Linked DNA regions of Ovis aries. The protein of the gene in region 2 binds, or shares a complex with, the protein of the main gene of each other region. Links are inferred from orthologs where the notes say so. Each region holds a gene or a part of one and is shown on either strand. Other genes may lie near its edges.

Region 1 (9,527 bases), on a different chromosome or scaffold from region 2:
TGAACTCACTAAGCTTCTCCCATCACTCCATGTACTCCCACCTCATACCTGTGCTTCTTCTTCTTAGAACTCTTCTTCCTCTCTCGTCGAGGAGAGCTGCTCTCTGACCTGCTAAACATGGGTTCAGAAACAGGGTCATTCAGCTTGCCTCCTTCCCTGGCCCACCCTACATACGATCCATCCTCAGAAGGCTGCACAGAACAACTCCAACAGCACCTATGTGCCAGATCTACACCCAGAACTTTACTCTCTAAGCAGCATAAGTACCTATAACAACAAACCTCAAAAGAGAGTACAGTACCAAAATTCTCATCAGTCCTGCAGAGCTACATAATCAACCCTTCCCACTGAAGCAGCAAACATATTTTTTCTCTCAGCTGAGACCTGAATGGTAACTCCTCTTCCCTGACTTTCCTGACAACTCCCTCCTGCTTCCTAGAAATAGAAATTTTCTATTTCCAAGGAGAAAAAGCCTGACAGGTGCGGTCCTCTGGCTACTAAAATAACTTTCCAACTAACTTACCGTCCTCTATCTTTCTTCTTTTTCTTCTTCTTTTGCTTTGGTGTTGGTGAACGAGAACTGCTAGACTCCCGGACAAGGCTGAGTGAAAATGAAAAGAAGCAAAGATGGGTGCTAAGATGGATTTTCTGAGACATTTCAACTTCAGAACAAAATCTGAAGAATATGAAAGAAATAATCCACACACAAAAAATGGAGCAAAGCACTTAGAATTAGGAAGAGAAACTGACACTAATCTCATGTACCTGTAAGGTTTGGGAGGCTCAGGAGCTGGTTGTTTAGCTTCCCGAGCACGACGCTGGGGATCAAAAGAGCTGCCATCCACATAGGAATCACTGATGCCAAAGGCAGCTCGGAGTCGCTCATTCTTCTTCTCATTCAATTCTGCCAACTGGTGAGTCTCAGTTACCCTAGAGGAGAAAAAGTCAAAGGTCTAAAGGAGATAGACAACAAAACGCAGAGCCATATTCACACAATTGCAGGCATGGACCAAACAGCCATGAGAAAAGGCAGACAAGAGCAGGGAGAATGTCCACAGTAAGGAGAGAAAACAGCAAAAGCAGAAGAGAGTCCAGAGAAAATGGAGAGGGAAACACTCACGCTGGCCTCTGCCCTGGGTTCTCCTCCTTCCCCCCAGGGTTCACATCCTTCTCCAGCAACATGAGTCGAAAGGTCGCCACTTTTTCCTGAATTTGCTGTTCCTCGTACCTGAAGAACAAAAGCCTTCAGGGTTAGAGCCTGACCAGACACTCTCCCCAGACCTGGGTTTACAATTCCCTCGTTCCCAGCAGGACCCCTTCCCTTTCCATGCACACATTAAATGTTTCACTCACTGTCACCCAAAGGGCCCTCCTATCAAATTCTGCTCTTTTCCTGTAATCTTTCTTCCCTCCACTGACTACACCCTCTAGAACAGTGGATTTTAAACATGCTACACTCCAGGGCCAAAAGAGGAAAGTTAAGCAGGCAGAGTTCCAAGTGTTCCTCCCCAACTTCAATCAACATGAACAGGTCTTTCATTTCATGGGATTCTGAAGTAACGTGCATTGTTAAAAAAACAAAACAAAAAAACAAAAACAAAAACAGGGGGGACGCCACTGCTGAAGTTTGAAAACCACTGCTCTAAAAGGTTTTCTGCCTGAACATGCTCGTTTTCCACAAATTTCACTTCCCTACCCAACTCATGATCCCCTTTATCCAGGTGTTATTCCAATTTCCTGTCTTCCTTTGCTACTCTCCAAGGCCTCGACCCTCACATCCATTCACCTTCCTTTTCTCTACCAATGACGACAACATATCAGCTTACCAAGCTCTTGTGTCTTGCCTAGTCTGCTTCCCCACCTCTCCCTTAAAGCATGTTTTTCTCAATGGCCCCTCTCTTTCCCCCTGTGCCTTCATCTAAATAATTCAGACTCCCTCAGGCTCCCTTTTATGTTCCAGACACAGGTTCCACTTTGAACTGCCCCTCAACTCCTTTCAATTTGCTAGCTTCTTTACCACCTCCCCTCCTACAACTCACTCCTCTCCAGGCCTCTTTCAACTTGCCCAACACTCCCTACAGCCCACCTAACTCCCCAGCTCTGCACTCGCTGGGTATGTGGCTCTCCCCCAGACCTCCCTCACCCCTGCTCCTCCATCATCTCCTCCAGCTCGAGGCATCGCAGCTCCACGCGCCGCTTGCGCTCGTGGTCCAGGATGTCAGGATTAGGCCGCTTCACCAGGGCAGCCTCCAGGCGCCGCAGTTCCTCCTCTCCCTTGTAGTCAGGCCGCTCACCCCGGCGGCCCCGCACCAGGGACAGGTTGCGCTGGACGTAGCCGTTGGTGCCGCTGCCCCGGGGCGTCGGCAGCCCGATCCCGTTGTACATGGCCCCGTGCCCGGGGGGGCACCACCGCTCCTGAGGGGGAGCGGGGAGACACGGGTCAGGCCCCTGGCCCCAAACTAGCCACTCACCACCACCCAAATCCCTGCTCTTCTTCAACCCTACTTCAACAGGTCTCTCCACACTAAACCTCCTTTGGCTGCATAATCCTCCTGGTCTCCTAAACAAACCCTTCCTTCATCCTTCCCTCACTTTCTACCAAATCAAGACCAGCTCTTACAGTCTTTACCCTCAGTGTGCAAGAGCCACTTCTGTTTGTACCTAGCTTTTCCTTACCCACCCCCAAAGATCCCATTTCTCCCAAATTTCTCCACACTATCCCTTTATTCTACTTTGAACCCAATATGCACAAGTGATATCTTTACCAACTACTCTGATTCCTTGGCAACTGACTGAGGCCTCCAAACAGGGCACAACAAACACCAACAAAAAATAAAAACAGAGAGAGAGAGAGAGAGATCTGTGGCACACAAGGGCCTGCAGTCAAGTCTAGAGTCTTCCAAGAACTGACCTAGGCATTTCAGGCTAGCTACCCTGAACGTAGCCAGAAATTATGACTACAAATTGACTCGAGAACCCCTTGATATCCAAAAGGAGGCCTAACCTAAAAGGCCAGCACGCACTACAGAAACACATGAAGCCTGGATACATAATCCTCATATACATCATCTCTCAGGTAAGAGGCATATCAACTATCCTGACTGATATGTTATTTCTTCAATTTCCTTCCCAATAGGATTTCTCACATGGTTTGTGGCTCACCCAAGTCTCCCTAGCTCCTACGAAAAGATTGCGTTTCCAACTCAAACTCTCTATGTATCAAAGCAGTCTCCTCTAGTCCAACTGTTCCCCATACCTTCTCTACATCCTTTCCCTACACTTAGTCACAAAAACCCCACTCTTTCTCCCTCACCTTCATTAAAGTCAAACTGCTGACTTTAACAGTCCCTTCATTACCTTACTGCCTAGTTTTTCTCATCCAGCCCCACATGACTCTGAAGAAACCCTCAAATGCTAGTTTTTTTCTGATTAGGTTTCTTGACTACACAGACTATTCCTTTCTCCTGCTCTATGTACTTTTTTTTTCCTCCAACTCCTCCTGTCCAAGATAGTTTCACAAAGGAAATGTGTGAGTGAAAAGGACCCCAGGAAAAGAACCCAAGGAACAAAGTTGAGATATTAGTGAAGGCAGAAGAAAAAAAACACAGAACTGGATAAAAAGAAAAGTTCCATTTAAAATACTCTGGAAGAAACATAAACACCTGGGAAAATGTACCAACCTCCCCCTTTACAGGTAGATGTTGAATGAAAAGAAGACAGCTCAACTCTAGAACAGTTTGGTACCCCTTCCCCCCCAACTCTAAGGCTGGGTCCCTACCCAATCCCAGTTGCAGACTCTAGAGATCTGAAAACAAAACAAAAAAATAACCATATTGGGGTAAAGGATGATGCTAAATCTAGGAAAGGCAAGTGGAACTGTGTGAAACGAAAAATTTCTTTATAGTACAAGAAATCTTCCAACCTTCACGTTTACTTTCTCAAAATTTCTCCTTGCTCTTAAGCTAGATTTTCTCTGGCTCTCTATACCCTACCTAGTTTCTGCTTCCCTAGCAGAAAGCTTCTGACCTGCAATTAATTTTTCAGTTTAACCATTCACCCACACTTCCATACCACCTCACACAATAATCCTCCCACTCCCTGGAAAAGGATAACCAGCAGCTGCTAAGCAAAGGGTATTCAATCACAACAAACTACTTTTAGAAAATGACCCAGCAAAGAAAACAAACAAAAAACAGAAATACCATGGCATCCAAGACAATGCTCACAAAGGACAGATAGACAGGAGGAGTGTATCGATAATACATATACACAAATCACCAAAACCCAAATGGAGACACTTAAACTAGGATCCACGGACTACGGGCATGCAAAAGTCACCAAAGCTAAAGGCAGATGAAAAGCAAGCTGCAAAAGAAGATAAAAAGCATTTTTCTGTTGGAGAATTATCACATGTTAAACAAGACAAAAGGAGTCTTAAAATTCAGTATTACGACAGTCAAGGAAAGAAACGCAGGAAAAAGGGAGCGGAGAGTGCAGGAAAATGAAACTAATACGTAAGCACATCAAGTTCAGCACTGGGGCACCACAGTAGCTGACGAGGGACTATGGAACCCAGAAAGCTGAAGTACTAGCTCAGTAAGAGAGTGCCTAGATTCAACACACTCAAAAGGAAACACAACACAACTTTAAAAATTTTTGACCCAAAAGATATCTTACATAAGCGTTTGCGTGAAAACCGAGGTCTGGAAGAGTTTTGAGTCAAATTATAATAAAACCCTGCGCTTTCTCCTCAAGAAAGGGCTGGCAGCCGCCTTCCCAGCTTCAACACAACTTTGGAGACCATGAAAAGGTGCAAGAAAAGAAAAGAGCACGTGGTCTGCCTTAACATACCTAGACTGAGTACTTAATTAAAAACAAAAAAAACGTTTTGAATGCTTCGCTTAATACTTCATGGCAGACAGTAACGAATCCAAACTGCCTAAATCGAGGAGATATCTAGTTCAAGACCTTTTTTGCACAGGCTGAGCCGCCAAGACCTATTTTCGGCCTTGAGGGATGGGGGAGGGGGCTGCGCGGCGCCCGGTAGTCTGGGAGGCTCAGGACCAGACCCCAAGCCCCGGGGAGGGACGGACAGGCCGGACGCCGGCGAGGCGCGGGGCAAAGGAGCCGACAGCCGGCCCCCGCCGCCGCAGCCCCCTCCCCGCAAACAAGATGTCGGCAAGGACAGCTGCAACAGGGCCTCGTCGCCGCACGCGTCTGGGAGACGAGAAGCCCGAGTCGCGCGCTACCCACTCCTCGCCGAGAACGCGCGCGAGCCCAAGTGCACTCGGCGGCGCGCGTCGTTGCCATGGGGGAGGGGGAATAAAAGCCCGCGCGCGACAGGAACCGCGGGAGAGGGGGAGGGGAGGCAGGCGAGCGGGGACGTCCGCGCGAGCTAGGGGCGGCGAGCGCGCGTGCGCGCGGCGGCCTGGGCCGTTCTCCGCGCGCTTTGGCCTGGCGCCGGGGCCGCCGCCCCTCCCCCACCCGGCTCGCTCGCTCCCTCACCCTCTCACCCGCCGCCGCCTCCACCCGCCGCCTCCGAGGGGGAGAGGTGCTGCCGCAGATCGAGCTCCTGAGTCCTTCGGGGCCTGGAGCAGCGGCCCTGCCTCGCCGGTCCGCCCGACTCAGCCGACACCGCCGCCTCCTCGCTTCCTCAGGGGCCGCAGCGGGCTCCGACTGCGCCACTCGCACCCCGCCTGGGCCGCGTTGCACGTCAGCACGACCAACTAAACGCGTCAGCACGCAACCGCGCGCGTCGCAAGGCCCGCCGGGAACCGTAGTACGCTCCGCGGCCTTGTGCGCAGGCGCCGAATCAGCACGGGATGTGTAGTTTCTTGAGTCCCGAAGGAGAGTCAACTCTGTTGTCGATGAACTACGATTCCCGTCAGGCAGTTGCGAGGAGGGTCTCGGGAGCGGCCCGGAGGAAGCAACGCATTCCAGGGGGTTTCCGACGGGGAGCAGGAGGACACAGGGCCTAGCGTCGCTAGCCCTCGATCGCTCCCGCCTTCGGCCCAGAGCATGCTGGGAGTTGTAGTTCTAGTGTGGCGTGGAACCCGGAGGTAGCTTCGCTCTCCCCCGCCCCCACGAGGCCGCCATTTTGTCTCCTCATGTTAGGAGGCAATGGGCCCGAGGCCAATAATACCGCTTCCTCCAAGTGACCGCACGCCTCCCGGGGTGAGCCCGGGGGCTGTGCTGCACCTATCATTCCGGACCCAGGAGTACCCGCCCCCCGGACCCTGGGCGGCGGACACCCGGGTTATCCCAGAGCCCAGCTACAGGCCCAGGGCCTGAGCCAAGAGCTGAGCCAGCAGACCGTGGTGTTCGCAGCTTCCATCCGCTGAACCGGGCTGGCTGCCCCTGAGGAATGATTTTTTTTTTTTTTTATGACTGCGAGTAAGGGGCCAGACAGAGGTGCAGTTTTCTCCTGCAGAACATGAAGCGTGTTACATACGTGGCAGGGTAAAAACATTACAACCCCCACCCCCACCCCGCCCCAAGCTTGTCAGCCCTGTGCAGAATGTCTTAAGTTAATGTTTTTAAGTCCGTTTTGCTTCAGCCTGAGGACCAGCTAGTCTCCCTCGGAGCAGAGTTGGGAGAAGCTGAGTTTTTGAGGCAGGCCAGTCGTCTGGGTTATCTCTGTTTGGGGTGGGGGTGGGGGCAGCTTATACCAGCAGCCACTTAATGAACTGTGGCCCCTTTGACTTTGTATCTGATGTTACTAGGTTTTCTTTGTAATCGTGGAAAGATAACTCACCTCATATGCTGGAGCGGGGCAACCTACTGCTTGGTGTAGGAGCTGTAGCTTTGGCTTAAAGGTGCCAGGGCTGATGTAATCTTACCTTCTTGAACTCCTGGCAAGTGCTTCCTGGAGTTGGATGCACCTTTGGAGTGATTTATGGCAAAGTGGAAAAGCCTGTCCTTTCTGGGCTTAAGCTGATATTTCTCAGGTGAGGGTGAAGGGTGATAGTTTCTTAAAACCCATTACCTTCAGTAAGACCCTTTCCTGTAACCAAATTCTCGATGATATTCTTCCCAAGAGATAGGAGGGTAGGAGGTGGGACACAATCAAAAAATGATATAATATCCTGAGGACCCAAGATAAACACTGATTAGAATTAAATGGGTTCAAGATGCAGACAAGTCAAATTTGACTAGAATTGTCCTCAGTATACACTCATTTTAACATATCAGTGAGCTAGATGACCCATGGAGAGGCCCCATGACAGTTCAAGGCCAACCATCAAAGACCAAAAACTGTGCAGTGGTCCAATTCCTGGAAATCTCTGCCCCTTGCCCAAATTAGTTGGAAGAATCCTCCCACTCATTAGCCTGTGAAATTACCCAGTCCATAAAAGCTAACTACACCACCTTGTGAGGCTGCACTCACCCTCTGAGATGGCCCACACTCTGTGGATTGAGTTTCTCTCTAAATAAATTAACTTTTACATATCACTATCTCTCGCTGAGATTTTTTTTTTTTTTAGTTTATTGATTTAATTGGAGGACAATCACTTCACAACAATGTGGTAGCCCCTGCCACACGACAGGGATCAGCCACAGGTGCACGTTTGCACCCCCGCCCCGCCATCCTGATCTACTGAGTTCTTTTTGCCATGAGACACCAAGAACCTGAGCTTCATTAGGTCCTGAAACCAGGTGTGTAATCTCAGTTGGAAAGCTGTGGGTTAGAGTCCCAAGCAGGGTTTTGGCTGGGTTCAAATCCCAGCACATGGATTCAAGTCCCAATCTGAGGTAAATAGTTTCACCTGTATTTACTGAATATTTTGTGCTAAGTTCTGATTGTGAATCACTGCATTTAATGCTTGTGAGAACATCCTATTCCTATGAGAAAGGGATGAATTATGAGAACTACAAGTTCATTTACATATCCACAGTCTTTGTGCTCTGTTGTTCAGTTGTGTCCAACTCTGCAACCCCATGGACCATAGTCCACCAGGCTCCTCTGTCCATGGAATTTCCCAGGCAAGAATACTGGAGCAGACTGCCATTTCCTACTCCAGGGGGATCTCCCCAAACCAGGGATCAAACCCGCACCTCCTGCATTAGCAGGTGGATTCTTTACCACTGTGCAACCTGGGAAACCTACATATCCACAGTACAGTTTTCAAAATAAAGTAACATTGAAATAATCCACAAACTTTATATAGAGGTGTTATCCATTGTTCTGATAATATCCTGAATAGCAAAAGAAAATTCAAAATCATAAATGTTGTGTTCTTAGACATCTTAATCCAGAAGGGTTGCAGATTCTTTGTAATTCGTGGCATTACCATCTTTGAAGAGTACAAGCCATTTATTTTGTAGAAGGTCCCTCAATGTGGGTATGTCTGATGTTTCATCATAGTTTTAAAATGCAGGTTACACATTTTTGGCAGGAAGACCAGGGAAGTGATACATGTTCTCAGTGTACAGTAGGAAGAGACACGTTCTGCCCAGTAGCTGCATTACTGCCAACACTGACTTTGATCTGATTCAGGTCATTTAGTGAAGAAGGAGTGAACCAATTTTCTCATGAAATTTCTAGTTTGTGAAAGTGAAAAGGTGTAAAAGTGTTTGTTGTTCAGTGATGTCCAACTCTTTTCAACCCTGTGGACTATAGCCCACCGTGCTCCTCTGTCCATGAAATTCTCTAGGCAAGAAAACTGAAATAGATAGCCATTCCCTTCTCCAGGGGATCTTCCCAACCCAGGGGTCAAACCCAGGTCTGCATCGCAGGCGGATTCTTTACTATCTGAGCCACCACGGAAGCCCCACTCTTTTATATCTGAGCACCTAAATTGTTTCCAGTGTTTTGTGATCACAAACCATGCTGCAGTGAGTAACCAGGTGCATACATATTTTCATATTTGTCGGGGTGTATATCTTCAAGGTAGGCTTCCCAGGTGGGTCAGTGGTAAAGAATCTGCCTGTAATGCAGGAGACCGGGGTTCGATTCCGATCTGGAAGATCCCCTGGAGGAGGAAATGGCGATCCCTTCAGTGTTCTTTTTTTTTTTTTTTTTACCCTCCAGTATTCTTGCCTGGAAAATCCGATGGACAGAGGAGCCTATTAGGCTACAAGGCTATAGCGTTGCAACAGTATCTTCAAGGGAAATTCCTAGAAGTTGGATTGCTAGGGCAAAAGGTAAAGACAAATGTAGTTTTGTTAGTAAGGACTGATCCCTCTCCGTAAGGGTTGTACCAGTTTGCATTCCCACTGGCAGAATATGAGAGGGCCTGTTCCCCACTGCTTCACCAACGGACTGCCTCGCAGTGCGTTTCCGTTTTGGCTAACCTCATAGGTCAGGAGTGTCACTACAGTGTAGCTGTTTTGTGTGTGGTAAAGTGCACATGAATATAAATTTTACCATTTAAACTAATTTCTGAATGTACAATTCTGTGGCATTAAATACATTCATGGTGTTGTGCGACCATCACCACTATCCATTTCCAGAACTTTTTCATCCCCCAACTCTGTACTTGTTAAACAATAACTACTTCCTACCCTCTCAGTTCAGTTCAGTCGCT
Region 2 (9,524 bases):
CTCCTCCCCAGGGGCGCCGGACTCCTCCTCCACTAGATCCACTGCACGTGCAGGCTACGGAGACAGGGGGACATGGAGACAGGGGGACATGGAGACAGAGCTGCCCTCTCTGCCCAGCGCCCCCTCCCCAGCTGCTACCGCCACAGAGAAAGGCAAGACAAGAGAGGGCAAGCCAAGCCGCCGCCCTAGTCCCCAAAGCCTTCCCTTCCCTCCGCTCGGGCACCTGGGCTGGAGCAGTGACCCCTCGCCTCACCTGTCCTCGGGTCTCCTCGGGCATGTGGTAGCGATTGGTGGCCTCCAGCTTCTCCTGCTCCCCAGCCGCCCGGTACTCCCGGGCCAGATCCCGCACACGCCGCTTGTACCTGAGCTCCCGGCGCTCGTGTCGGCTCAGCTCCACGTCCCCGAAGAGGAACTCCTCGTCGGCCAGCTCGGCCTCCAGGTCTTCCAGCTTCTCTCGCTCCCGCTTGGCCAGGTACTCTCGGCGGGATTTCTTCCTCAGCTCAGGGACCTGGGTCAGGCCAGGGCAGTCAGAGCCTCCCCTCGCTAGAAGAGTGACCCCTTTCCCCTGTCCCCCTAAGAGGCACAACCTCCTGGGCAGGCCGGCCCGGAGAACCTAAAGATGTGACCTCCACCGCCCTTCCCTTTACACTGAACAGCCTAACGAGGAGCCCGACGTAGGGCCCACACGCTGCCTGCCAGCAGCTCGGACGGTCCTTCCAGGCAGCCTCACCATCTTTGCCAACATCGACTCACCAGGATGATTATGTGCATATTTTCTATTCTACCCTCGCTATTTCATTCGACTCAGTGTAAAGGGAGAAAACATGACGATGTGGAGGCAGAGGTCTGCAACTGAAAACAACTGAGACACTCAAAATCTGCCAGGGGCCCTCCCCTCGGGGGCCGAGTGTATCGGGTTGACCAAAGAGTTCATTCCGGCTTTTCTGTAACATCTTATGGAAAAAATGCCAATGAACTTTTTGGCCAGCTCAATACTTAATTGCTTGGTTTTTTTGTTCCATGATACACTAAAATGGAGTTTATGCTCATGACCTGATCTGAGTACCACAATCAAATTCTCCTTCAGCCTGACAGGCACACCGCTGGACAGTACCCGCCCCTCGCCCCACCATGGGATGTACACACCACCACCCAAGAGGCGCTGCTGCTACAGCTATTTAATCTGAGTCTAAGAGAGCTGCAAGACCCAATTTCCACTTTAAAGTAAGCACTGGGACAGAACTTAACACCACAAGATAACGGATCAGATAAATCCAGAATGTAGGACATGCCGTACAAGATAAGACAGAAAGAAAGAGAGAAGGGGAAGATGAAACAAACTGAAAAGACCTCACACTCAAATGCAACGCATGAAACGTGACTGGATTCCAGTTTGGAAAAGCAGTTATTAAAGACATTTTGGGATAATTGAAGAAATCTTATTGTGGGCCGACTCTTAGCTGATACATGAGACCCCTCTTCTTGGCTAAGACAGTGCAATGTGTGAGAATGTCTACAGGCACCAGGGACGTGCTGATGGGATAAAATCCCACAATGTCTAAAACTTTCATATGGTTCAAAAAGGACCAAAAAGCTGCCATTTACACAAACACTGAAAATATTGCACGTGGTATTAGCAATTTTTTAATCCAAAAAGCCTGGATGGATGTTGTTATGCTATTCTTTCAACTTTCCTATTTGTGTAAATTATGAAGATTTTCATAATTGAAAAAGGAAAGAAAAGTTCAAGCAAGTAAAAATACTACATCAGCACCAAGAGACATCTCAGAAGTCTCTGGCTACAGTCACTTTCTGGGGTGTAACCTGAGATGGATACATCGGGGGGACCCGATGGCCACTAAGGCATTGTTAAGACACCAAGAGTCTCGAAATTCTTTGGGGGAAATCTAAGCGTGACTGACATGGGAAGGCCAGGCCTTCAGAAAACTGCAACCCTACCGAGGCTCCCCAGTAACAAGTCTAGGGCATGAATCGTTAAGGGCCCAGTCCCTGTACAGTGAGAAGACCAACTCTGAAAATCAGTGGGTAATCACAAAGCCCAGGGGAGGGGGAGGCGGGGTGGGGAAACGGAGGGATTAGATGATAGGAAGGTACCGGGAGATGGTGTGCACAAGCTCAGCGGTCAGCACATCCCTGGGCAGTGTGACCCCTGCCCTGCCCCTGTCCTCCAGCCAGCCCCTTGACCTTCCAGCTGCCTTTTGAGTACACCTCTTTAAGTCCCAGGAACAGGGAAATACTTCCCTCACTAACATACAGTCTGATCTGATCCTAAGGAGTCAGAGGGTTTCTGGGCCACTTCCTTCCCACTACAGTTTAAGTCTATCCTTAGCTGGCGCCTCAACCAGAGACCCAACAGCCCCACCACACCTCCTCTGCATCTTTCCTCCCTACCCTAACCACTCCATCAGGAAGCCTTTCCCTTTGTCTTCCTGGGCACACGGACTCACCATGGCTTTCCGGTCTTCCTCAGCCATCTTGAGGCGCTTCTGAGCCTCTTCGTAAGCCTAGGAGAAGGCAAGAGTGGTCAAAGTCCCCGTGCCCACAGCCATTCCTGTCTAGAATCACAAGGATCACTCAGATGTTCCCTAGCACAAAGAAATGTACCCCCTTCACTGAGGAATCTCTGTGGTTACAGGTTCAGCAGAGAGCCACCTTAGCCCAAAGACCCAAAGAGATGACCAGACTACTGGAGGCGGCTCCTTGTCTTCCCAGAGATCACTATCTGCGGTCACACCCAACCTCAGATCGGATCCAGGGGTCTGCCTGGGGACTGATGGGAAGTGCTGCTCCAATGCACCTTCTTGTCTGACCGCTCCAGGACGTTGCGAGTCCGATCCTTGTCCCGCTGCCGAACCCGCTCAGCGAATGCATCGCGTTCCTCCAGGTCCTGAAGGCGCTCTCGCTCTGTCCGCTCCCACTCATCCTCCGACTCCGGCTTTTCCGTCTGCTCTTTCTTCTCCCTGCAGCCCACCCCGGAGGATTAACTGAGGGCACTCAGAGGCTTCCTGTTCCATCACCCTCTCGCCCCCTACTTCTGACTTACCCTGTCTTCCTCTTTCCTTTCTCAGAAACTTGTTCCTCCTCCTCGTCTTCCTCTTCCTCCTCACGTTTCTTCCTGAGGTGTTTCCGTTTTTTCCGCTTCTTCTGGACACTGCTCCCAGCCCTGCCCACAGTCTCCTCGCTGCTCTCCTCACTGTCCTCCAACAACATATAAGAGCGGTTCTTTTCCAGCAGGGCTCGGGCCTCTCGCTCGGCTGCCCGAGCTGGCTTTTCCACCACTGCCTTCCGTGGGACCTGTCGGGAGAGAGAGAAGTCAAGGGGATGTAAGCAACTCCTGATCTCTGCCCACCTACTCTGCCCAGTTCCTAATTTAAGGAGTAACTGATCTTAAACCAGCTGTCATTCTGTCTCTTCCCCAAGGCTTCACACCATGTCCATCAGCCCGAATGGGGTCTCTCAGTTCCTAAGCCTATCCCATGCACCCCCTGCTAGGTACTAGAGATATAGGGGTAAAGAGATAAAACTTTCTGCCCTCATGGACTTTACATTCTCACACTCAATTCTCAACTGCTCAGCCTCTGTTCTTCCCGATGACTAAGTCATTCCTACCCAAGGACTGGACAAGGATTGTCCAGATTGTTTTGCAGAGCCCTGTCACGGGCCAGCACTGTAGTGGCCTCCAGAGATACCCTGGTGAACGGATTAACACAGAGCTCCTACCCTCACATCAAGTACGTTCTCATCTTTCACCAAGTGCAAATGGGACAGCCACACCAAGTTATCTGCCATGAACAAGTTCAACACTTTTAGTCTTACTGTATAATTTCTGAGCTCTTGTTCTGCAGGTTACAATTAGATGGTATGAATACAAAGACAAAAATCACAGTCTTGCCTTCCAGGAGCTCACCATTACACCTTTACTCTTCCCCTTTCTTTACCCAACAAACTCCAGATAATCTTTGGGCCTGCTTTTCTCGATCACAGCCACACCACTTCTACCCTCCCACAACACTGCCCACACATCTCTTCTATAGACTCACTCTTCGAAGGGTGGGCAACACCCAGCATCACCCGAAAACTTACAAGATTTGTTAGAAATGAAGAAATGAAGAAACCATCCCAGACCTACCGAATCGGAATCCTCATTTTAACAAAAGCCGTGGATGAATCCTAAACCTGTTTGAGAAACACTGCTCTGTAGACCCTTAGTTCAGTTCAGTTCAGTTCAGTCGCTCAGTCGTGTCCGTCTCTTTGCGACCCCATGAATCGCAGCACGCCAGGCCTCCCTGTCCATCACCAACTCCCGGAGTTCACTCAGACTCACGTCCATTGAGTCCGTGATGCCATCCAGCCATCTCATCCTCTGTCGTCCCCTTCTTCTCCTGCCCCCACCCAAACCCTCCCAGCATCAGTCTTTTCCAATGAGTCAACCCTTAAGCCCTCCTCAACCTTCTCCACGGAAGTGGTCGTCCAGCCCGAAAGTGATAACTGCTTGCAAACTGAGCTTAATTCTCCGTTGGACAGTTAGCCCAAGTGAGCCCAAACTCCGTTGGACAAGTAACCTGGGGGCCCCTCCCCTGCTCCACCCACTTTCCCGCCGCTCCCACGCCCGGTCCCGCCTCTCCCAGCACCTTGTTCCAGAGTCTCAGGGCGAAGTCCCGGGCCGGCCCACTGAGGTCCAGGGTATCGGTGTCTCGCAAGCGCTGCACGAACTCCTCTGCCGAGGCACAGCGCTGCGCGGTACCGATCAAGAACTGGGCCACGTGCCGCTCGCTCAGTCCCAGCACCGAGTGCAGCTCGTCTTGCACCCAGCGCTCCAGCCCCGCCGGTGTCGCCATGGCGACAACACGCTCCCTATTCCCGGCCCTGAAAGTGTCTCCAGCTGCCACGTCGGCGGCCGGGCGGGTCGGGGGCCTAGAGCTCCAGGATGGAGCCTCTGCTCCGGAATGGAGCTGCCTGAGAACCGAGGGGTTCGGTTTCCGATAGTCCAAAACAATCTTCCTGGACCGCTGAGGCCGGAAGTGGCTGCTCTTTTCCGGCCTATGCACTACGGTGGCCGAGCGAGTTCAAATCTCGCGTAATTGTACGCGAAGCTCGGAATAAAACATTTTCATTTCTTCCCCTACTGAATTTCTGTTGCCCTCTGTTGATCATTCGTGAGTATTACACCCATTCATTTCATTCAACTATATTAAGAACCTAAAGTGCCTGGTGGCTCAGGTGGGTAATGGCACCCCACTCCAGTACTCTTGCCTGGGAAATCCCATGGATGGAGGAGCCTGGTAGGCTGCAGTCCATGGGGTCGCGAAGAGTCGGACACGACTGAGCGACTTCACTTTCACTTTTCGCTTTCATGCATTGGAGAAGGAAATGGCAACCCACTCCAGTGTTCTTGCCTGGAGAATCCCAGGGATGGGGGAGCCTGGTGGGCTGCCCTCTATGGGGTCACACAGTCAGACACGACTGAAGCGACTTAGCAGCAGCAGCAGCAAAATGCCCGGTGGCTCAGGTAGGAAAGAATCTGCCTACAATGCAGGAGACCTAGGTTCTATCCCTGGGTGGGGAAGACCCTCTTGGAGGAGTAAATGGTAGCTCACTCCAGTGTTCTTGCCTGGCGAATTCTATGGGCAGAGGAACCTGGCCTACTACAGTCCATGGGGTCACAAAGAGTCGGACATAACTGAGCGACCAACACTTTCAGTGTGGGCCAGGCACAGTTTTAGTACCCAGGGATATAGCAAGGAACAAATCAGAAACAAATCGCTTACTGAATTTACAGTGGCAGAGGGTTGGGGGTGGGGACCAGCCTGACAGAGACAAGATAAAAATATAAAATACTAAGTTATATGGAGCCAAAAATAATGCAAGGTGTGTGTGGGCGCTTGTGGGGTGGGGCATTCAAATTAGAAGATCAGGTCCATGCTTGTTACAGATCAACTAATTAGGAGTGACCTTTGCTAGGACCTTCTGCAAGACATGAATACAGGTTAGGCTTATCAAGGACTCCAGGCAGATGAAAACTCAAGATGTGGAGAACAAGCAAAGGTACCCTCTTTTCTTGGTGCTATCTCATAATGTTATTTTAAAAGATCTGCAAACTAAGAAATATGCAAATTGTATTCTGCTTTTTTTTTCTTTTGCTAACAGCTTGAGAAAGTCACTGGTGTCTGCTTAATTTTAAATAAGCAGAACTTGTTGCTTGACTGCTGTCTGGCCTCTGGTTCTGCTTCATACTTGTACAATTAATTGGATTTATCTGACACTGTGTTGGGAAACTAAACATTTGTTATTCCAACTAACAGCCACAAGTAGTTCCACATCATTGATGTCATGAGTGCACTGTTTTCTGTTTCTGAAATGGACTGTGAACACCCCTGGCATCTCAGAGCTTCTTACTTCTGCTTTCCTGGGTCAAAACTAATTAGGGTCTTTACCTAATTAGCTACTAATGTGAGTACTCTCCCTCCATACTCACACCCTCTCTGAAGTGGCTTATTCTTTTGACACCTTGCTTATTCCCTTGCTGGGAACATATCTGGCATGTGTTTAAAATCAATTTTTCTAATACATTTTGTTTTTAATAAAGGAGGACCTTCCTGTAGTGATAGGACTATATCTGCCATATCTTTATTAGCATGGAGAACTGGAAAAAAAAAATCTGATAAGTAAAATGTAAATATTCCACACGTAGAAGATACAAATTCAGTGAAACAGGAAAGTGTCCCAGTGCCAACTATAGTTGGGCCACAAAGCCATGAATTATCTATGGTTCTTAAAACTTTAGGAATGTAAAACCAGTTGTCTATCAGAGAAGACCCTTTTCAGGAATCTGCCCCTCTGTACTATTTTGCAGCAGTTTCAAGAGATTTATTACTTATAGTCTTGAGTCTTGGAGTAAAATCCCCTGGATTAGCTAGCCACTTCTAATCATACACTCTCTGGCTGCTTGCCTTGCACTAGGCTTCTGGATACCAGAATCTTTCAATTCAGAGTGTCCTTTGCTTCCAAATTTTTATCTCCTTTCATCTGCTCATTCGTCCATTCATTCTAAAGATAATTGTGTGTGTCTATCAGGTGCCAGGCATGGGGATGCTGCAGTGAACCCAGCCGACTGTTTATTATCATGGTATGTCCAGTGTGGTGGATGATCCAACTGTCCTTTCTCAAACCAGCCCTAGACTTAAAAAAATAATAATTTAAAAAATTATTTTCAAATCATTTTAAATAGTTTATTTATTTTTGGCTGCACTGGGTCTTCAATGTGCATGAACTTTCTCTAGTTGCAGCAAGTGGGGGCTACTCTTTGCTGAGGTGGGCAGGAGGGCTTCTCACTGTGGTGGCTTTTCTCGTTTCAGAGCATGGACTCTAGGTACCCGGGCTCAGTATTTGTGGTATACCAGCCTAGTTGCCCTGCAGCAGGCATCTTCTGGAGCAGGGATCAAACCTGTGCCCCCTGCATTGGCAGGCGGATTCTTAACCACCAGACCACCAGGGAAGTCCAAACAATTTTTAATTTAATTTTTTTAAAAAAGAGAGAAAACAAAACAGGGAGTTCCCTGGTGGTCTAGTGGTTAAGATTTGATGATTTCATCATGGAGGCCCAGGATGAGTCCCTGGTTGGGGAACTGAGATGCCGCAAGCTGAGAGGCACAGCAAGAACAAAACCAAACCAAAGCAACAACAAAAACTCCCCAGTCCCTCTCCTGTTGGTCCTTGGAGAGACCAGTGCCAGGTTCTCCCAGAACCCACTCTCCACGGTCAGTGCTGAGCTTCTGGTTCCCTGTCATATTTTCCCCTCCCACAGCCACGGCTGCTTCCTCTTTATGGCTAGTAAGAAGGTGAGAGAGGCCTGGAATGAGGAACCCAGAACCCACTCCATCCTCCCCCACCCCCATTCCCTTTTTCAAAAGAAAGAGAAGCAGCAGGAGAGTCGGAGAGAGCTCCATTTTATTACAGAAAATAAAAACGAAAAACAAAAACCCAGGCAACTGAGAAGGAAGGAGACACGGGGGGAAGAGAGTTGAGGTCCCTCATGACTCACCTCACACCCTCCTCGCAATTCAATTCAATTGTGAACCACCAGGAGGAACAGAATTAAATAACTAGAGGGGGATACAGAGTCAAGATTCCCAGCCTTCCCTCTTCGGGGAAAGTGAGACACGGGAATACTGAGCAAAAATGGAGGAAGCCGTACCCCGGGTCCCCCCAGTACGGGGACTTCAGGGGACAGGGAAGAGGATTCTACATGGACACGCAAGTAGGCGTGGCTTGTAAACCCAGGACTTTGGCAGGTGGGGCTGGGGATGGTGGGGGTGGGGGGCTGTAAACCAGGCTGTAGTCAAGAGAAGCAGCAGGAGCTGTAAACAAAGGGGCAGGGACCTAAGGAACAGGAGGGAGAGGTGCTGGAAATGCAGTGGGGGCTGGGTCTCCCTGGGAGATGGGGGAGCCTCCAGGGGGCAGGAAGGAGTCAAGGAGAGCGTACCCTGCCCGTGGAGATGGCAAGGGTGCTCCATCTCTACCCCTGCCCTGTGAGCTCTGTGCTCCTCCCCAGGACTGGATGGGGGTTTAGGATCACCTAGGAGGCACCAGCGTGTCTGAGGAGGGTGGAAACTGAGCGGTTGCCTCTGCCCCCAGAAACAGGAAGAGGAAAGTAAGGTGAAAGATGCTGGTTGCCCTTCCCTGCCAGGCTCATGTTGAGGGTCTCTGTCTGTCTGCTCTGAACCTTCTGGGCTCCAGAATCTTCAGTTCCAGGAAGGAGGGAGGTATATCTCCGTGTTGGAAGAGGGTCACCTCCGGCAAGACTCATCTGTGCAAGAGGAGGTAGCAAGGATAGAGGATGAGAGAGGGTCTCCATCTCCCGCCTCCCCACCCACTCCCCACACTGAAGGCCAGTTGGCATGCAGAAAATCTTATAACATCTCCCACATCCTGAGTGCCTCTTGCTACTACTAGTAACAGCAGGATCACTCATTTCATTTAGCCTGGATTCTCTGCCAGCCATTCTCATAACTTGTTTAATCTTGCAATAACCCCAGGAGAGGTTAAGTTATTCAATGTCCAGCCGTAGTTCCTAAGTGCTTCCCCAAAAGTTCTTAACCCTCTCAACAATTCCAAGAGGTGGTTATTATTAACCTCATTTCAAAAATAATAAACTGAGGCCAGAGGTCAAGCAGTAACACCACAAAGTAAGAGACAAGATGGAATTCAAACTCAGGCCTGTCTGATCCAAATCCTGTGTTAACTACACTGTAGTGCTCAGAAAGAGTCGTGATTTAGAAATGTGGAGATCTTATGTGCCCTTTGCTTTTCAGGACCTCAGTTTTCCCATCTGTTAAAAGGAACTGTGAAAGAGGAGAGTGAAAAAGTTGGCTTAAAGCTCAACATTCAGAAAATTAAGATCATGGCATCTAGTCCCATCAGTTCATGGCAAATAGATGGGGAAACAGTGGAAACAGTGACAGACTTTATTTTTTGGAGCTCCAAAATCACTGCAGATGGTGACT
Region 3 (9,858 bases), on a different chromosome or scaffold from region 2:
TGAGGCCCTGGAAGGGGTCCCCCTTCCTGCAAAAATCTTAATTAAAAGACAGCGGGTTCAAGCATCAACAAGACAACTCCTTAAAAGACAATATTCTTTCTTGATCTTGTAGCATGACCTACCATGATGATGCTTAGATCTGGATTATGTAAACCATCATACATCACTTGATGTATAGCCCTCTGTCTCAAAAAACATATAACTGTATCTTGACTTCTAAGGGCCAGAACAGTTCTCAGAGCTTTCTGAGATGCTCTTCCCAGGTTATAATCCTCAAATTTGACTTGAATAAAATTTTTCATTTCTTTTTTGAATCAACCAATTAGTTTTTCATCTACAGGACAATAACCAAAATGAAAAAAAAAAAAAAAGCGGAAGGACTAAAAGTAGCTCTTTGGGGCTAGCAGAAGAAAGGAGCAATGAACTAGAAGAGAGTTCAATGCAAATTATGCAATTTGAAGAACAGATTGTGAAAGGAATGAAGAAAAAAATGAATAGAGCATCAGACAAATATGGGACACGACTAGGTGCACCAGCATATGTGTAATGGGGAAGCAGAAGTGGAGATAGAGAGAAGAGCCAAAAAGATTCAAAGAAGTAATAGCTAAAATCTACATGTCCAAGAAGCTTAACCAACTCCAAGCAGGATAAATGCAAAGAAATAGATACCTAGGCACATCATAGTCAAAAATGTTAAAATCCAAAGAGAAAACCTTGAAAGAACAAAGAGAAAAATGACTAATCTACAAGGTAACCCCAAGGTAACTAATATTACAAGCAGTCTTCTTTTTTTGGTTCCATTGGGTCTTCATCGCTGCTCACTGACTTTGTCTAGTTGCAGTGAGCGGGGGCTACTTTTCCTTGCGGTGCACATACTTCTTACTGGGATAGCTTCTTTCATTGTGGTACACAGGCTCTGGACACAGGGGCTTCAGTAGTTGCAGCACTCGGGCTCAGTAGTTGTGGCTCAAGGGCTTTAGTTGCTCCTTGGCATGTGTGTCAGGAAGCATTTAACAGGAGGCTTCCTGTGTGCTGTTCTGGATCTGTCAGGAATCCTCTGTTCCTTATAGGCAAGCCTCTCCCGGGGCTCAGGGATCCAGGCATTTCCTTCGTTAGTTTTTCAATATGGTGATAAGTACCCTCTTCTTCTTATGAACCATAGGGTAAAAGTGATTGTTTACAACTCTCTCTTTAATATGGATCGCCTATGTTTTGTAAGTCTGGAATTTTAATCTTTATCTTTGCTGAGAATAACTACAGTATATATGCCCACACCATGTTGATTAAAACACCTTTGTTCCATCAGAGCTTTGGTCCCATGTCTTTCTTTCTCTCTCTCTCTCTCTCTCTCTCTCTATTTCTGGCTGATTTCCTGGAACACAAAAGCCGGCTGCAACCCAGGAAATATTAGCCTCTCTCCTTTCACTTTCTCATCATCGATTCCAGACCACCAGGTTCTGGTCCATTAAAGGACATCAACACATGTGGAATCTTCCCGGACCAGGGATCAAACCCTTGTCCTCTGCACTGGCAGGCGGATTCTTATCCACTAGGCCACCAGGAAAGTCCCAAGCAGGCTTCTTATCATAAACAGTGGGTCCGGAAAACAGCTAAAATTTTACTCAATCATGAAACTCTGTATACTTTGTACCCATGATCTGTAATAAAACAATGTCTGCTCTTGCTACTTCTATTCAATATTGTACCTGAAATTCTAGTTGGGAAAAGTAGGCAAGAAAAAGAAATAAAAAGCATCCATATTGGAAAATGTTGACAAAAGAAAGGACAAGTAAGTGGTTCAGTGGCAAAGGATTCACTTGCAGTGCAGGAGACTGCAATGCCGAAGATGCGTGTTCGATCCCTGGGTCAGGAAGATTCCCTGGAGAAGGAAATGGCAACCCACTCCAGCATTCTTGCCTGGGAAATCCCATGGACAGAGCAGACTGTGGGCTACAGTCCATGGGATCCCAACAGTCAGACAGGACTTAGTGACTAAACCACAATTTAAACAGTGAATTATTTCTGGGAAGGTCACCTTGAAGGGAAGGGAGGATGTCTTAAGCAGATTACCTCACTAGGGCTGACCAGGAAAAAAAAAAAAAAAAAACCTCACAGACTAATTGGCTTAAAATTCGATTCCTAGGATAGCCTGCAAGTACAATTAGGTTAGATATTAAATATCAGTGGAGCTTAGCACAAGTCACTCCATTTTGCATTGATTGTTTCCTTTTTAACAAATAAAACCATCTCTATTTGCAAATGTCATTACATAGAAAATCCTAAGGAACCAACTGAAAAACAATTAGAACTAATGTTTCACGAGGTTACAGGATAGAAAATCAATATACAAAAATAAATTGTATTTCTATAGACAAGAATGAAATAAATAACTTCATTCACAACAGCCTGAAAATAATAAAAATACTTTGGAACAAATTTAACAAAAGAAGCATAAAAATTGTACTCTAGGAAATGCAAAGCATTGTTGAAAGAAATTAAGGAAGACCTAAATAAATGGAGAGACATCCAATATTGACTCAAAGCTTGTGCTGGATTCTCAGCATGGCCCTGTTCAGTGCTCTCCTGCAGCTCCCATCTTTCTCTTCCACCCTCTCTCACAATCCAATAACCCAAGATTCATGAAGGAAATATTGGCAAGATGGATAGTTCAAGCTTCCCAAAATTACACAAGTTTTTTTTAAAAAATACTTATTTATTTGGCTGTGCAAGGTCTTAGTTACTTAGGATCCAATTCCCCAAGGTAATTGAACCTGGCCCCCTACATTGGGAGCCTTGAACGTTAGCCACTGCACGACCAGGGAAGTGCAATGCAAGACTTTTAAAACCAACTGTACTTGACATGCCAGGAACTCTTCCTAGGAGGCAAGGGCATCTTGGGACAAATCCATGATGTCATTGTCCTTCTGGTATTCTAAGGGCTAAAGAATAAAAGAGACTAGTGTTAGTCCTGCAGTCCTATCTGACTCTTTGCAACCCCATGGACTGTAGCTGGCCAGGCTCCTCGGTCCGGGATTTTCCAGGCAAGAATACTGCAGTGGATAGCCATTCCCTTCTCCAGGGGATCTTCCTGGAATCAAACCCAGGTCTCCCACATTGCTAAAGAAAATCTTTAATGATGGTCCTGTGAAACTGGATAGGGCTCTTCCCTATATAAACATTCTAGCCGCTTCTCTTTGAATTCACATCCGGGTTTCACCATTCTTACTATGTAAGCCGAGACCCTAGTAATCATCCAGGCTCCACCTACCCGAATAACCATCCTGATCCCACCTTCTTAGCTAACAACCCTGGCAACAAATATTCAAGCAATCCTCCAAATTTCCTACATCCCTCAAATAAAACATAGATTTTGCCCCTCATTTTAAACCCTTAGGCCCACCCTACGCCGTGCTTCTCCAGGATTCCAGGTCCTGCTCTCTAATTAGCCGGGTTTTAGTCACTAAGTCTGCCTGGAAAATCCCATGGACGGAGGAGGCTGGTGGGCTGCAGTCTGTGGGGTCGCTAAGAGTCGAACACGACTGAGCGACTTCACTTTCAATTTTCACTTTCATGCATTGGAGAAGGAAATGGCAACCCACTCCATTGTTCTTGCCTGGAGAATCCCAGGGACGGGGGAGCCTGGTGGGCTGCCGTCAATGGGATCGCACAGAGTCGGACACGACTGAAGCGACTTAGCAGCAGCAGCAGTCATTAAATCGTGTCCGATTCATACACTATAGCTACCCCATGCGCTATATAGCCCGCCAGACTTCCTCTGTCCATGGGATTTGGCAAGAATACTAGGTGGGTTGCCATTTCCTACTCTGGGAGATCATCCCACCCAGGAATCAAACCCGGGTCTCCTGAATTGAATTACAGGCAGATTCTTTACCCACTGAGCTACGAGGGAAGACCAGTTAGCCTATAAAACCTCAACCTATTATTCCTGACAGTTCCAGCCACACTCCCAGTGCGTTTATAGACTCCGCCCCCTTGACTAACATTCCAGGCCTGCCCCTCAGCCAGTGCCCGACCCCAACCCTCTCCAGGCACGGCCTCCTCAGAAATACCACTTGAAACTCCGCTGACGAAAATAAATATCAAGCTCCGCACCCACAGCTACTCTTGCAGCGTTCAACTACTCCAATAACCCTCTCTATGTCACCTCCTAGAGGAATATTCTAGGCTAAAACCAGGACCCTCCAATCACAGCCAAGCGCGGGCCTCCATATTCACACTCATTGGTCCCACCAAGAGAAGTGAAGTTGCTCACTCGTGTACGATTCTTTGCGATCCCATGGACTGTAGCCTACCAGGCCCCTCCGACCGTGGAACTTTCCATGAAAGAGTACTGGAGTGGGTTAGCCATTTGCTTCTCCAGGGAATCTTCCTGACCCGGGATCGAACCTGGGCCTCCCGCATTGCAGGTAGACGCTTTACCCTCTGAGGCACCAGGGAAGCCCTCACACCAAGGTGGGTAACTAACAATCCTGGGCCCGCCTCCTCAGAACCACCCTCCACTCCGACCACGCCCCCGGAAGGCCACGCTCCGTCACTGACCCTCTTTGGGGCGCAGGCGCACGGTGGTGCCGGCCCTGCGTACCAGCGCCGCCACGTCGGCCGCAGCTCGGGCCGCCAGGGGGCGAGCTTCCAGCCGCGCCAGGAACTGTCTGGCGCGGGGGCCCTCGGGCTGGGGACCGCCACCGCCTGCGCGAGTGAAAAGAACAGATCAGGGCCCACCCTGAGTCTCAGCGAACCCTCACGGCCCCCTACGATCAAAGACCTAGAATTCCCCTCAAGATCCCCGAGACCACTCCTTTTCAGAGTCCCGAAGGTCACCGACTGTGCCTTTCACCTCCCTGGACCCCCGACTATCACGGGAATGCCCGTGGACCCCCGCCTGCTCCCGCGATATCCCTGGCGAGCTATTTAACTCCAGCACTCCTGGACACCTCCGAACACCCTGTGAATATCTCTGGAGGTTTCTGACGGGCCCCCCCCGACACAACCCCAGATTCCAAACTCTTCCCCCCAATATCCAGAAGGACTGCGATTCTCCCAGATGTCCCAACAGAACACGGTCTGCTCCCTGTGGCCCAGGCACTCCCGATGCCCCTCTAGATGTCCTAGGTAACCCTGCTGGTCCATGTAGCCCCAGATGGCCCCTCCACCTATCCCCAGAGGCTCCAGCCTAACCTCCCACAATCCAACAGACACACACCCCCCCCCCGATTCTAACAGCCCCCCCCCCCCCCCGCCCAGTGCCCAGGTGTCCCCAGTGATCCTGGGCAGAACCCTCCAGCACATCTCCCCGGAGACTCCTGGGAGTCCCGGGGTCTGGTGCGCCGCCCCGCGGCGCAGGTGTGGATGGGGGTGCGGCTCCTCGAGCCCAGCTGGGGTCGCTGGGCCGCTGCCCTCCACCGCCGCCGCCGCCGCCGCCGCCGCCGCGGCTCGGGCGCCAGGGCGGCTTTGTTTACCACCTGTCAGAAGGAGAAGGTGAGGAGCAGACAGGAAGTGTGAGGGCTGGCAGGGACGTGCCCACTACCCTCCCACCCCGAGCCCGGTACCTCCTTTGCTTCCCCTAGGGTCCGTGCCGCCCCCCGGGCGCCGCTCCATGACCTGTACTTGGCCTGGTGGACGCACGGCCGCCCGCAAACGCGTTGGGAGCGCTCGGGAGCGCTCACCTGGTGGCCAGCTCGGGCCTGGACGTGGCTGAAGCCGGCCGGTCCCGTGCTCAGCGCCCCAACCAGCGCGGTGACCTACCTGGCAGCCGCCAAGGAGTCCTGGCCCTGGGAGCCAGCGCGCACTCTTGGCCTCGCCCTGCCTCAGCCGCTGCCTCTCTTTCCCATCACCAAGGGAAAACTCTTTCCACCTCGGGGATGTTGTTATTCCAGTGTCAGAGGGGAAAGTCGAGGCCCAGAGAAGTTAAAGGCCCCACCTGAGCTCTCACAACTAAAAATGGGGTGCAAAACCGGAACCCAAGTTTACCGAGGTGTACTGCAGCCTCCAACAGAGCTTTCCACATCTTACGTGGAAAGTCGCTCAGTCGTGTCTGACTCTTTGTGACCCCATGGACTGTAGCCTGTCAGGCTCCTCTGTCCATGGGTTCTTCAGGCAAGAATACTGGAATGGGTTGCCATGGCCTCCTCCAGGGGATCTTCCCCACCCAGGAATCGAACCCGTGTCTCCTGAGACTCCTACATTGGCAGGCGGATTCTTGACCACTGAGCCACCTGGGAAGTCCCTTCCACATCGTAGACAGTCAGTCAATCTGCACTGAATGTTTCCCTGCTGGGGAACTGGAAGAGTATGGTGGCCTGAGGAGTGGGGGCACCCTGAGAGTCGTTGGGAACCCTGGGAGGTATCAGGGCCCTGAGCATGATAGGGTTGGTGGACCCCCAAAGTAGGGAAGGGCAGGTCTCCTGGAGAGTGGAGGGGCAGTAGGAGCCTGGACTTGAGGAAGCTTTGAAGGCATAGGGTGTGTGTTGGGGGCGGGGACACTAGCCAATGAGAGGGGAGTAATGAGGCTCCCCCTAGGTTTGAAATGGGGTGAGAGTGTCTGGAGACAAAGCCCCCAAGATGGAAGCCCATGGGCAGAGTGCCACTCTAGTGACAGGAGGAATGGGGAGGGGTGAGAGAAGGCCTGTGGCCACCACTTTGTGGAGGAAAAAACAGACAAAAGATGTGAACACAAACTTTACCAAAGAACATATACAGATGGCAAATAAGCATGTGAACCTCGCTTAATATGATTAGTCTTTAGGTAATACAAGTTAAAATCATGGCAAAATGCCACTACACACATATTAGCATGGCCAAAGTTAATTAAACGTCTGACCATACCAACTGTATGTGAATTTGTCCAGGAAATGGGACTCTCATATACTGCTTCCAGGTTCAATACTTGTTCAGGGAACTAAGATGCCCCGTGAGGCAAGAAAAAAAATCGAACGCCCCTCTTAGTTGTAGACATTCCTGAAAATAATCCTTTTGCCCCTTTTAGCATCACTTGGTTCACGGATGTAGGTCAGTCCCTCTAACAACCCCACCCAATTCTGATTAATTTAAGCAAATCTTTCTTTTCTTTAGGAGATTGCAGGTTAATTGACATAAAATTTGATAGGTTTTGAACCTGTGACAAAACCAGTTTCATTTGCTTAACATGCAGCAAGTCAAAGGATGAGACACCAAGATCTGCAGCAGAGAAAGGAAAGTGCCTCCCAAAAGGCACAGGGCTTGAGATATTTATGAGATAAAGAAGCAGGGTTGTCTTTGACCCAGGGAAAAGTGATTAGAGGTAGGGAAAAGGTGACCTAACAGGTGTTCTGTGCAGGTGTATATGAGTTTTATGCGGCTTCAGGGGATGCATGTGCAAAAATGGAGGTGCACCATGATCTGAAGGTGGACCATGTGATGTGAAAAGGTTATTCATCATACTCCTGTGCAGGCCCAGTTTGGGGTCGGTGGTCCCAACCAATCTTAGCCAGTTTGAACTGGACAATATCTAATTCCAAGTTCCTGAAAAACAACACAAAGCCCTCATTATTATAGCAACCCATATGTCAGAGGTGTGATAACACCTATAGATAATAGGGAGTGGTGAAGGAGTCAAAAATAATTAAGGCATGTACTCTTTATATAGGTACTGTTTATATAAGTACTGTTATATGTACTCTTTATATAAGTCAGTGAAGGCAGGTTACAAAGCAGAGTGATCTTTAACAAGCTGTTCCCAAATCTGCCGTTCTGTAAGACAAGCTCAAGAATCTCTGTCACGAGAACAGAAACATTGACCCTATGGGGCACAGTTTCAAAGTGTTTACATCTGTGAGACTATCACTACACTCAAGACAGGGAACATAATCCTCACTGCCAAATGTTTTCTCCTGCCCCGTGTGAGTCTTCTTTCCTTACTGCTGTCCTCCCCACCCCTGACACTGATATACTTTCTTCCACTGTGTATCAGTTTGCACTTTACTTGTTCAGTTGTTCAGTCATGTCCAACTCTTTGTGACCCCATGGACTGCAGCAGGCCTGGCTTCCCTGTCCTTTACCATCTCCCAGAGCTTGCTCAAACGCATGTCCATTGAGTTAGTGATGCCATCCAACTATTTCATCCTCTGTCATCCCCTCCTCCTCCTGCCTTCTATCTTTCCTAGCATCAGGGTCTTTTCCAATAAATTGGCTGCTCTCATCAAGTGGCCAAAGTATTGGAGCTTCAGCTTCAGCATCAGTCCTTCCAAGGAATATGCAGGGTTGATTTCCTTTAGTATTGACTGGTTTGATCTTGCAGTCCGAGGGATTCTCAAGAGTTTTCTCCAAAACTACAGTTTAAAAGCATCAATTCTTCGGCGCTCAGCCTTTTTTATGGTCCAGTTCTCACATCCATACATGACTACTGGAAAAACCATAGGTTTGACAATACAGATGTTTGTTGGCAAATAACGTCTCTGCTTTTTAATATGCTGTCTAGGTTTGTTATAGCTTTTCTTCCAAGGAGCAAGTGTCTTTTAATTTCCTGTCTGCAGTCACCGTCCACAGTGATTTTGGAGCACAAGAAAATAAAGTCTGTAGTCACTGTTTCCCCACCTATTTGCCATGAAGTGATGGAACCAGATGCCATGATCTTAGTTTTTTGAATGTTGAGTTATAAGCCAGCTTTTTCACTCTCGTCTTTCACCTTCATCTAAAGCTCTTTGCTTTCTACCATAAGGGTGGTATCACCTGCATATCCAAAGTTATTGATATTACTCCCAGCAATCTTTCGGAGAAGGCAATGGCACTCCACTCCAGTACTCCTGCCTGGAAAATCCCATGGATGGAGGAACCTGGTAGGCTGCAGTCCATGGGGTCGCTAAGAATAGGACAAGACTGAGCAACTTCACTTTCACACATTGGAGAAGGAAATGGCAACCCACTCCAGTATTCTTGCCTGGAGAATCCCAGGGACAGGGGAGCCTGGTGGGCTGCTGTCTATGGGGTCGCACAGAGTCGAACACGACTGAAGCTACTTAGCAGCAGCAGCAGCCAGCAATCTTTATTCCAGTTTGTGCTTCATCCAGCCCAGCATTTTGCATGATGTACTCTTTATATAAGTTAAATAAGCAGGGGGACAATATACAGCCTTGTCGTACTCCTTTCCCAATTTTGAACCAGTCCATTGTTCCATGTCTCGTTCTAACTGTTGCTTCTTTTCCTGTATACAGGTTTCTCTGGAGGCAGGTAAGGTTGTCTGATATTCCCATCTCTTTAGGAATTTTCCATAATTTGTTGTGATCCACACAGTCAAGGCTTTAGCATAGTCAGTGAAGCAGAAGTAGATATTTTTCTGGAATTATTTTGCCTTTTCTATGATCCAATGGATATTGGAAATTTGATCTCTGGTTCCTCTGCCTTTTCTAAATCCAGCTTGTACATTTGGAAGTTCTTGGTTCACATACTATTGAAGCCTAGCTTGGAGGATTTTTGAGCATGACCTTGCTAGTATGTGAAATAAATGCAATTGTGAGTAGTTTGAACATTCTTTGGCATTGCCGTTCTTTGGGATTGGAATGAAAACTGACCTTTTCCAGGGCACAAACAAAACCTTGTGTGCCCCAAGACCCAGGGAAAGGAGCAATGACCTCCACAAGAGACGGAGCCAGACCTGCCTTTGAATGTTTGAGTGTCTCCTACTGAGGCACAGGTCAGCAGTGGCCTGCGGTGGGGACAGGGCCTCTGGCAGCACCAGTCCTAGGAGGTGCAGCATGTGGCATAAGTCCTCTTGGAAGAGGTCACCATTAGCCCACTATAGAGCTGCACAACAGGCGACCCACAAACTGGAAAACAATTATGCCAAACAATTATGCCTCGCACTGT

The links. Proteins that work in one complex are often made in the same cells at the same time.
Region 1: DHX16 (region 2) and SRRM2 share a complex: the UniProt entries of both Homo sapiens proteins name them as parts of the minor spliceosome. The link is inferred for Ovis aries from reciprocal best matches to the Homo sapiens genes DHX16 and SRRM2.
Region 3: DHX16 (region 2) and GPKOW share a complex: the UniProt entries of both Homo sapiens proteins name them as parts of the minor spliceosome. The link is inferred for Ovis aries from reciprocal best matches to the Homo sapiens genes DHX16 and GPKOW.

The regions. Positions count from the first base shown.
Region 1 is NC_056077.1:2,803,596-2,813,122, forward strand, and holds the start of SRRM2 (serine/arginine repetitive matrix protein 2), read right to left. Parts: upstream 5,721-9,527; 5' UTR 5,514-5,720; exon of another isoform or gene 5,506-5,513; intron 5,159-5,505; exon of another isoform or gene 4,678-5,158; intron 2,416-4,677; 5' UTR 2,386-2,415; coding exon 2,144-2,385; intron 1,229-2,143; coding exon 1,121-1,228; intron 931-1,120; coding exon 766-930; intron 602-765; coding exon 524-601; intron 112-523; coding exon 49-111; intron 1-48. UniProt on the Homo sapiens protein: Required for pre-mRNA splicing as component of the spliceosome. As a component of the minor spliceosome, involved in the splicing of U12-type introns in pre-mRNAs.
Region 2 is NC_056073.1:27,448,412-27,457,935, reverse strand, and holds the start of DHX16 (pre-mRNA-splicing factor ATP-dependent RNA helicase DHX16), read right to left. Parts: upstream 5,016-9,524; 5' UTR 4,860-5,015; coding exon 4,653-4,859; intron 3,316-4,652; coding exon 3,065-3,315; intron 2,982-3,064; coding exon 2,819-2,981; intron 2,526-2,818; coding exon 2,469-2,525; intron 509-2,468; coding exon 254-508; intron 55-253; coding exon 1-54. UniProt on the Homo sapiens protein: Required for pre-mRNA splicing as a component of the spliceosome. Contributes to pre-mRNA splicing after spliceosome formation and prior to the first transesterification reaction.
Region 3 is NC_056080.1:55,984,857-55,994,714, reverse strand, and holds the start of GPKOW (G-patch domain and KOW motifs-containing protein), read right to left. Parts: upstream 5,721-9,858; 5' UTR 5,568-5,720; intron 4,708-5,567; 5' UTR 4,561-4,707; intron 2,940-4,560; 5' UTR 1-2,939. UniProt on the Homo sapiens protein: RNA-binding protein involved in pre-mRNA splicing. As a component of the minor spliceosome, involved in the splicing of U12-type introns in pre-mRNAs.